Linked DNA regions of Arabidopsis thaliana. The protein of the gene in region 1 interacts with the protein of each later gene in a pairwise test. Each region holds a gene or a part of one and is shown in the gene's direction. Other genes may lie near its edges.

Region 1 (5,080 bases):
TAAATATTGATTCAAATACATCCACCATATAACCCAATTCCAAAATAAAACACGTTCTGTAATTTCTTTACCCGTCCCATGATTATTTTTTTAAGTAGTAATTTTTAAAATTTTAGAATTATTTTTATATATAAAAGTTTTGCAAATTGTATCATTCTCTAATACATTTATATTTTATAGTTTAAATTAAATTAATTAAAATTTAGATATCAAATCTTATAAGTTGATTTTGATTGGCTATTATTTTTAAAAATTAATAATGTATTTCGTTTTTAATTAATTAAATTAATTAAATTAGTATTTGACTTTTTAATCCTTAAAGAGATAAATTAATTTACTCTTTAAAATTTTATTTCTAATGGCATACCTATGTAATTACTTACAAAAATTAAGGTTACATTTAAAATGTACTTCCCAAATAATATAGTAGGATAAATTGTTTTATCTATGATTTATGAATATCCACATCAGTTCTGTAAAAAATAAAACTAAAAGAAAAACCAAGGAGAAAACAAATCGCCTTGTAAAAAACCGTTTTTGATAAATGTAACATTTAGGTTTTGTGTTAGTTAAGATCCGAAACAAGACAAATCTTATACACGCCATAATCCAGTATGTCGAAATCTACACCGTATTAATTATTGCTACTATGAACAACCATTCTATCCGATCATAGACTTTACTCTTATTTGTCGTTATTATCATAAAATGTCGTTTAAATAAATTATTTGTAGGATACCAATTCTTTAATTATATTAGTTCAAACACGTATAATTTTGGTGGTTTTTGAGGATGAATATCATCAAAGATAAATGCATTTTGGTGAAATAAATAATCAAATAATTATTTTAAATTATCTTTATGCACCACTATTTTTAATAAATTGGACTCTTACAACGTTTTCCTTAAAAAAAATCATGGATCTTAAAACTTATACCCAAACAAATATGTAGAAAATTATTATTATATATATAAATATATATATATATATATAAGCTATACAAAATCTTATTATATAGTAGTAGCGCTTGATTCTAAAATAGCATAATTAGACGAAAAAGCATGCATTTTGTAACATTTTATACTTTGTAAGTAAAACACATAAAAAATAATTTTATGAATAAGAAATCCACATAAAAAAAAAAAGAAGTAACATACTGTGAAAAATTAGGAAACTTTTTGAGGCACCAATTTTTTATGCCACTTTCAAAAAAGCATTAATGAAAATTTGTTTAAAATATCATTTTAAAATTTGACGTACAAAAGTACAAAACCTCATACAATTTCAAAACTTTACAAAGACTCAATAACATGTGTTATAGAGACTTTATAAACTTTCTTATAACATACTCTATAATTTTTTATATCCATATATTTGTGATATTTTTGAAAATGGATAAAATAAATTTGATATTTTTATAAATAGAAAATATTAATGGTATTTTTGAATTTTTCCCAAAATAATTATTAGTCTTATACTCCAAAATGTAAAAAAAAATCACTTTTTATTAAAAAAATACTTACGCATTTGCTTAATTGCTAGTCGTCAAAGTTTTGTCATTTTATGCAAATACTAAAAAAATGTAGAAAGCATTTCCTCTTTATTTTTGGGACAACCAAGAAAGGAGCATTTCAATAGTGTATACATAGACAAAAATATTTCTCATTTCCTATATTTGACTCTTTAAATCTTTAATAGCTCTTGTAATTTTTTCCATTCATTGTAATACAGCCATAATGTTTAAAAGGAAACTGTCAATTATAAACTTATACTAGAATATAAAATATGGTATTGAATTGAATATTTTCAAAAATAAAATATTAAATTTACGAAAAGAATAAAAAAACTTAAAAATCTCTCTCTCCTATCTCTCAACCACAACTTATTTTTCATGTCAGTATCCACCAACACATATATACGGCATATAAAAGATTTTAATAAAACCTTGGAACTATCTATATCTATTCAGACACACACGTCTATATATATATATACACTCATATACTACTTTCACTGTATCATTCTTGTTTTCTCTAAATTTTTCAAAAAACCTTTAGAATTTTCATTTTTTTACGATTCCGATGTTAACTGTTTCTCCGGCTCCAGTACTCATCGGAAACAACTCAAAGGATACTTACATGGCGGCAGATTTCGCAGATTTTACGACGGAAGACTTGCCGGACTTTACGACGGTCGGGGATTTTTCCGATGATCTTCTTGATGGAATCGATTACTACGACGATCTTTTCATTGGTTTCGATGGAGACGATGTTTTGCCGGATTTGGAGATAGATTCGGAGATTCTTGGGGAATATTCCGGTAGCGGAAGAGATGAGGAACAAGAAATGGAGGGTAACACTTCGACGGCATCGGAGACATCGGAGAGAGACGTTGGTGTGTGTAAGCAAGAGGGTGGTGGTGGTGGTGACGGTGGTTTTAGGGACAAAACGGTGCGTCGAGGCAAACGTAAAGGGAAGAAAAGTAAAGATTGTTTATCCGATGAGAACGATATTAAGAAAAAACCTAAGGTGTGTTTATTTCCCAATTATCCATGTTAGATTAGTTTATTTTTTTTCTTCTTTAAAGGTAAAAAATCCCATTAAGAAATCACCAACCTTTTTAAGGATTTCATTAAAAAAACATAAACTTCTAGTGTTTCTGAATATTTTTTTTACAAAGTTAGTGAATTAGTGTATTTATCATATACACAATTATTATTAAGTTTGATAACTGGAGTAGATCTAGGACCAAAACCAAGTTTTGTGTAGTAGGACTATACAAATTTGTGTGTTTATTTGGACTAAATATTTTTTTTTATAAAACTGTAAGACAATTTTCTATAAAAAAAATGAATTCCTTTTTTTTCTTTTCATTTATTGATTAATTAATATATTGTTCCGGCAAATCAGGTGGATTGGACGCCGGAGTTACACCGGAAATTTGTACAAGCGGTGGAGCAATTAGGGGTAGACAAGGCGGTGCCGTCTCGAATCTTGGAAATTATGAACGTTAAATCTCTCACTCGTCACAACGTTGCTAGCCATCTTCAGGTAAATTTTAGACTAAAACTATACAAACTAATTTTAACAGGAATTAATCAAGTGCTATAACCCCTAACATAGTAATTACCTAATTTATAGATTACATGTTTTTCCTTCAAAATTTTTTATGAAAAGACAAGTAAAATACTAACCAACTCAGATTTGTGTAATAAGATTAATTTGTGTTGTGTTCTTCTTGTAATGATAGAAATATAGGTCACATCGGAAACATCTACTAGCGCGTGAAGCAGAAGCTGCCAGCTGGAATCTCCGGAGACATGCCACGGTGGCAGTGCCCGGAGTAGGAGGAGGAGGGAAGAAGCCGTGGACAGCTCCTGCCTTAGGCTATCCTCCACACGTGGCACCAATGCATCATGGTCACTTCAGGCCTTTGCACGTATGGGGTCATCCTACGTGGCCAAAACACAAGCCTAATACTCCGGCGTCTGCTCATCGGACGTATCCAATGCCGGCCATTGCGGCGGCTCCGGCATCTTGGCCAGGTCATCCACCGTACTGGCATCAGCAACCACTCTATCCACAGGTAATAATAATTCATTTGTAAAAATGTTACATGTTTTTCCATTATTAGTTGTATGGTTAAATCATGAAAAATAATCGAAATGACATAACTAAATCAGCTTTGTTGAACAATCATGACACTGCAAAAAGCTAGTCTTTGTACACTATTGGCTTTTTAACACATGCAACATATATAAGTATAAAACGGAATCATTGAATTAGATTGTGGTTTTGTCTAACAACGCAATTAGTAAAAGATTGCAAGATCATGAATCATTTTTATGTAGACAACTAATAAAGATTTAGAGCTATGAATTATGTATGGATTTTACAAAAACATATTTCTAATCATGGTTTATGTGTATATATGTGTAGGGATATGGTATGGCATCATCGAATCATTCAAGCATCGGTGTTCCCACAAGACAATTAGGACCCACTAATCCTCCCATCGACATTCATCCCGTGAGTGCACCTTTTTTGGTTTCAATTTTGTTTATTAGATTTTGATTATGACATAACCCAAAAAAGTTTTCGAATAAATTTTGGATAATTAACAATATTTCATTACTTGACGGTTGCAGTCGAATGAGAGCATAGATGCAGCTATTGGGGACGTTATATCAAAGCCGTGGCTGCCGCTTCCTTTGGGACTGAAACCGCCGTCGGTTGACGGTGTTATGACGGAGTTACAACGTCAAGGAGTTTCTAATGTTCCTCCTCTTCCTTGAGAAAGATCTCCAAAATTTGTCGAAATCTCAAACTTTTAACTTCATTTTTTTGGTATCTTCTATGTATTTTTGCAAGGGAAAGACGATAAATCCTTGTTGCTTGATCATATGTATTTCTCTATATGAGTGCATGTATCGAAGTTAAGCAACTTTAATATATCGTTATAATCTTCGATAGCAGAATCTGTAATTTTTATTAACTTTCAACTCCCGAAGCATCATTGCAAAATGACTAAATGCAACACTTTTTGGGGTTAAAAATGCTTAACATTTTAAAACATTACTATCATTTATTCAATCAACAATTTATAGTTTTATACAATTGAAAACTAGACGGGATATATATCGCATGTGTTTTTTCAATGGCTTATTTTGTTTTATAATGCCAACTTTCACAGCTATGGATTGTGACTATTTATAATTTCAAAGAAGTCAAATATTTTTAAAACTCAATTAAAGTCCATAAAAAAATTTGCAATTGATAATGTTAACATATCGTGGCAAAAAAAAAAAAAAAGTACAACACATAATTGGAGTTTAGATATACGAATATTCTTTTAATTGGTTCCATGTAAAAAACTTAATTCAAACGGATTCGATTGGTGACACAAAATGGTAAAAACAAAAAAGCGGAAAAAGTTTTAAAAATACTAGAATAGTTGAAAGAAGTAAAAAAAATACAGGTACAAAAAATACAATAGTACAAAAAAATACTAGAATAGTTGTAGATATACTTTTGTGTTTAGTAAACTATTAAAGCATTAAATATTGTACCATGCGATAGA
Region 2 (5,389 bases), on another chromosome or scaffold:
TATAAAATTGCTTAAGTAGTTAAAAAAAATTAGCTACTTTGTTGAATTAAATTTCTAAGAAAAATATATATGAATTCGTTAGGATTTAATTATAATAAGTAAACTGTAATTTGGTTTCACTAACGAAAAAAAAAGTGCGGCCATAAAAGCAGTATCGGCTGCAAGATTCGAAAAACCTTTACTTTTAAAATTGTAGAAGACAAAGGACTAGATGACATGCACATGAAGATAAGATGAGCAAATTTGTTAAAACTTTTTATCTCCATGGATAAGAGTTTGCCCGATTTATACAAAAGAGAAGTTCGGATAAAATATAACTAATTCTGGTAAAACATTTTGAGTCAACTTTTATAGATCGGTTGACAACTAATGTGTAAGCTTATATTATGGTTTATACATAATATATTCATCACGTAATCATTATTACTTATTAGTGATCTGATCGCATAATATAAAATGAGAGTATTAGTCATCAAAAGTTACCACGTATCATGCGTTTCTCAAAATGTTAGAAAAAACACATCGTTTTCTAATCAACGGAAAAATCAAAGTGTCTTTGGACAAGATCAGATGTTCTTTTGATTAAAACCTCTTCCAGTAATTGTAAACTGTACAAGTGCATTTTCTGAAAATCAAAGTTTTCTTGGACATGACTAGAGATTCTTTGATTAGAGTCTTCTGGATTTTGATTGACGTTAAGATATTTTTGATTTAGACATATACTAAATCCTAATTAATTAAAATTATAGATCGAAAACATTATGGTCTCGTAAAGTTTAGAAACTATGGACCCACGAAGAAGTGTTTGGCGAATAAGCGAAGGATTTAATTTAGTTTTGGGTATATAGAAAACGAAGTGTAAAGAAAACGTAACGTTATGGCTCTTTCTAAATTGGGTTTGTTTTAAGTACTCGTAACCACTTTCAACACATTCACTGTATATAGTGTGTTGTATTATATTGTTTGAGTCGTCATATGATGAGATTGTATATATATAAAGAAAAGTCTTGGACCTTTTGATATGGTGATCCATCACATCAACTACGTAATGGTAATACTAATGCTCTACGATAGATGCTATATTTACCTAAGAAAACCGATTTTTTAAGAATGCACTGAATTTTGCTATCAATCAGTTAACTATTGATAAGTCATATTTAGATTTTTATTTTGTTTCATTTGTAAACAGAAAATCACAAGACGTTGGAGACATCTTGGCTTGCTCCTGGCACCTATAAAAAAATGTATGTTTGCAATAATATTAGGGACTTATTAAAGTAGGCCCAATGGGCTTAAGATTCCACCAAATTAGCTTGACAAACACTAAGGGCCTGTCTCGGATATTAGTTGTTTTTAATTAGCAATTGAATAAACTGATGCACGTTGACTCTCTTTTTTTCGTCGTCATGTTTGATTTTTTTTTTTTTTTGTCGTCATGTTTGATTAGTTCTTAAATCTTAACGATAAGTTAAATTATCGATTTAATATCAACAACTGTAGCAAATTTTAATATTCTACGTTAAAAAACTTACTACTATTTTTTTTTTTTTTTTCAGTAAAATGACACAAACATGCAAACCTAGAAAATAGCTTTGACTTGGTTAGTTTCTTGTTAAAGAAAAAGATTACAAACAATTAACATAATATATTATGCACTACAACGGGAAACAAAATTAAGAAAAAAGACTCTTTATCTACAAAAAAAAATCATATAAATGTAAAAAGGGTTTTATCATTGACAATTTGACAGTTATCAATTTACATCAAAATATATTTTAAATGTTTTTAATATTCATGTACTTAATTAGATCGCTAATAATGATAATAAATTGAATATCCTTTTTGATTGTAATAAATGAGTAGATGAGTCACACCAACTGTAGCTACCGTGTCAAAACCTTATCCAGTAACACGTGTACAGCTGGACCTCTCATTGTCGCACGTGTCAGATCATCAAACCCTAAAATTAAAATCCCAAAGAAAAAAAAAACTTTCCTCTTTCTTCGCATTCTTCTCCTCCTATCGGACTTTGCCACACCAGATCGGAAAATCCCAATCCTCTTTTCCTTTGTTTTTTTTGCTATCTTCAATCAAAAACTCTCCGACAGATTCAATGAAGCAGCAAAAGAGATAAAACCCTAACAAAAGTAAACAATCGGAGTTTTAATCTTCTTCTTCTTCGGAGCCGGAGTTTTGTCTGATCTGTCGGAGAGGACGTGTCGGCATCTATTAAAATCCTAGCTGGACTTCCACATCACTTTACTCAATTAGAAGCTGGTCTGTTTTCTCTGTTTTTATTCTAACTTTTTCTCTCGTTTAATTTCTCATATGCAAACAAACACCTTTGCATGTAACTGATTCTGTTGTACTTGAATTGAATTCTTTAATCAATTATGCAAACAGAGCTTGTTTTGGAGATGATGATTCACAAGTATGAGATTGTCTTTCTGCTTAAGAATTCGTTGAGTGTTGGTTTCTGAAGTTTGAATTGTGTGTGTGTGTGTGATTTAAAATACTGATGCATGGTTCGAAGCTTAGAGATTTTAGATTGCTATAAATGAAAGCAAAAGAACAGTGCCCTTACTCTTGTTCTGTTTTAAAGTCATTGATTGTTATAATTGAAAGCAAAAGATTTTAGTTTTGATGTTTTATGATTACTATTTATCGTTAAGATTTTTGATTTTTGTTTATAGTTTTGAGTAACACAAGTAAGTAGTAAGCTTATAAAACAATGGGAACGAGCGAAGACAAGATGCCATTTAAGACTACCAAACCAACATCTTCGGCTCAGGTTAATCCTTCTCTTCTCCTTTCTTTTCAACATCTTTGTTCTGTTTTATATTTTAAGGTGTTTGATGTATCTACCTCTCTCTTTTTCAGGAAGTTCCTCCCACACCGTATCCAGATTGGCAAAATTCAATGCAGGTTCGTGTTACATGTACAACTTTGGTCACTATTAGTTTTTATAGTGTAAGTGAATACTTTCTCGAAAACACCGGGACTGCTGAACATAATAGTATATGCTTATTTCTTTAGGCTTATTATGGCGGAGGAGGTACTCCAAATCCTTTTTTCCCATCCCCAGTTGGATCTCCTAGTCCTCACCCCTATATGTGGGGTGCTCAAGTAAGTTTTGTATCGTATAGTTGTTGATATGATTCTATGAAAAAGAAGTTTGCATCTTATTCTTTGGATAACACTAAATGAGTTTCTCTGTTTTGCATTACTTTCAGCACCATATGATGCCGCCTTATGGCACCCCAGTTCCGTACCCAGCAATGTATCCCCCGGGGGCAGTCTATGCTCATCCTAGCATGCCCATGGTAATCTCCATACCATTAATACAACATTAGCTATCGTTGAAAGCTTTTTGCTCTGTTACATGGCAATGCATAGATAAATGAGAAAGTAAAAAACTTGCTCGACATTTCTTTTGTTGTAGCCTCCTAATTCTGGTCCTACCAACAAGGAGCCTGCGAAGGACCAAGCTTCTGGCAAGAAGTCAAAGGGGAACTCGAAAAAAAAGGCTGAAGGAGGTGATAAAGCGCTCTCTGGTTCAGGGAACGATGGTGCCTCTCATAGGTGATTTTTATAACACTCTACTCAACGTGGTGCTTGTTCAGTTTGATTGCAGTGTCATATGTAATTATGATTTTTCCGTTGTGCAGTGATGAAAGTGTCACAGCGGGTTCATCTGATGAAAATGATGAGAATGCCAATCAACAGGTACTGTTATGTGTTTGAAGTGTTCTCTGTTGCTACAATACTTTGTGATGTGCTTCATTGAGATTCATGTTAATGTAGGAACAGGGTTCAATTCGAAAGCCAAGCTTTGGACAGATGCTTGCTGACGGTATGCTTTTGACCGCTGCAGTTTTCATGGTTTTTCTTTGCATGTATTTTCCATGTTTCTTGACTTGGTAAAGTTTCCTTGAACAGCAAGTTCTCAAAGTACGACTGGTGAAATCCAAGGTTCGGTGCCCATGAAGCCGGTAGCCCCGGGGACTAATCTGAATATCGGGATGGACTTATGGTCTTCCCAAGCTGGTGTACCAGTGAAGGTGTGACCAACTCCTCATTTCACCCTGCAAGGTTGCTTTTCCGAATTCGTTACATTCTTCCTTACAAAATCCTCTGATTACTCAACAGGATGAACGAGAGCTCAAGCGGCAGAAGAGGAAACAATCTAACCGTGAATCCGCTAGGCGGTCTAGATTGCGGAAGCAGGTAATATGCATTTGTGTGTTAGTATCATTTTACTCTGTCTGCTTCTTGTAATTTACTCATTCCATAATAAACCATTTCGAATAGGCCGAATGCGAACAACTTCAACAAAGAGTAGAGAGTTTGTCGAACGAGAATCAAAGCCTGAGAGATGAGCTACAGAGACTCTCAAGCGAATGTGATAAGCTCAAGTCTGAGAACAACTCAATCCAGGTGACAAACTCTTTATCCGGAAAAATTTCTGCGAAAATCATACTCTTTCCAACTTTTATCTTATTTCTATCGGCTTGCATTTACACTAGAGTCATGGAATAATGCAGGATGAGTTGCAGAGAGTACTTGGAGCAGAGGCTGTAGCTAATCTAGAACAGAATGCTGCTGGGTCGAAAGATGGTGAAGGAACAAATTAACACTTAGGAAAATTGGAACTTTACAACGGATTATTGGGATTTTTCAACACCGGATAAAAAAAACTGAGTCCAAAGTCATTTGAGATTACGTAACTATACAATCGTTTGACATTTTTGTGTAATAGAGATTTGACCTACAAGACTGTAGAAGCTGCAAAAGCTACGATTACACTTTGTTTTATTAGTCTTCGTGATTGGAATCGGATTCTGAATCCGAGTTTGTTTCTGAAACGGGGCTACCATTTGCTATTTCTCCTAGTCGTGGTGCATCCTCGTTGACTGTTGGAACAACACAGCAAGTACAAATAAAATAGTCAGTTCAATACCCTGATAGCAAAGTATTACACTAAAGATAGAAAATTAGAGTTCCGAAACAAACCTGATCCCAAGATTTTGGCAATCATTGCTCGGACAAACCGTATTTCTCCTTGGTGTGACCTAACGACCTTCACCTGCAGTTTTTTGTTTTGTTTTAAAGCGTTAGTTAAAAGTGACTGAAGAATAAGGGAGTTCAAAAGAAAGCAATCGTGTACCATTTCCCCATATACACCATCCACAAGTTGGTCCACTCTAGCTTGGTGTCGTAAGAGGAAAGGACGGATCTGGTTGTTGTATATCTGTTTTGATCCCTGTTGTCGGCAAATAAGAATATAGAGAATATCAGAACTGATGAGTACCACGGGTTAAAGCTGCCTACTCGTTAGATGATGGTTTAAAGAGATTCCGATAGGTACCTCAACAGTTGGGAGTTGAAG

The links.
Region 2: the proteins of GLK2 (region 1) and GBF1 interact in a two-hybrid assay, tested with the Arabidopsis thaliana proteins (one study listed by BioGRID).

Annotation. Positions count from the first base shown.
Region 1 is NC_003076.8:17,796,353-17,801,432, forward strand, and holds GLK2 (GOLDEN2-like 2), read left to right. Parts: upstream 1-1,928; 5' UTR 1,929-2,082; coding exon 2,083-2,529; intron 2,530-2,910; coding exon 2,911-3,051; intron 3,052-3,250; coding exon 3,251-3,586; intron 3,587-3,939; coding exon 3,940-4,029; coding exon of another isoform or gene 4,030-4,074; exon of another isoform or gene 4,075-4,148; coding exon 4,149-4,295; 3' UTR 4,296-4,574; downstream 4,575-5,080.
Region 2 is NC_003075.7:17,309,095-17,314,483, reverse strand, and holds GBF1 (G-box binding factor 1), read left to right. Parts: upstream 1-1,995; 5' UTR 1,996-2,277; exon of another isoform or gene 2,278-2,693; 5' UTR 2,694-2,731; coding exon 2,732-2,791; intron 2,792-2,880; coding exon 2,881-2,925; intron 2,926-3,036; coding exon 3,037-3,126; intron 3,127-3,233; coding exon 3,234-3,323; intron 3,324-3,442; coding exon 3,443-3,582; intron 3,583-3,668; coding exon 3,669-3,726; intron 3,727-3,804; coding exon 3,805-3,853; intron 3,854-3,939; coding exon 3,940-4,061; intron 4,062-4,149; coding exon 4,150-4,227; intron 4,228-4,311; coding exon 4,312-4,437; intron 4,438-4,544; coding exon 4,545-4,634; 3' UTR 4,635-4,815; downstream 4,816-5,389. Other genes in the region: HVA22K (HVA22-like protein K), read right to left, coding at 4,816-4,913, 5,014-5,086, 5,168-5,263, 5,369-5,389. UniProt on the Arabidopsis thaliana protein: Binds to the G-box motif (5'-CCACGTGG-3') of the rbcS-1A gene promoter. G-box and G-box-like motifs are cis-acting elements defined in promoters of certain plant genes which are regulated by such diverse stimuli as light-induction or hormone control.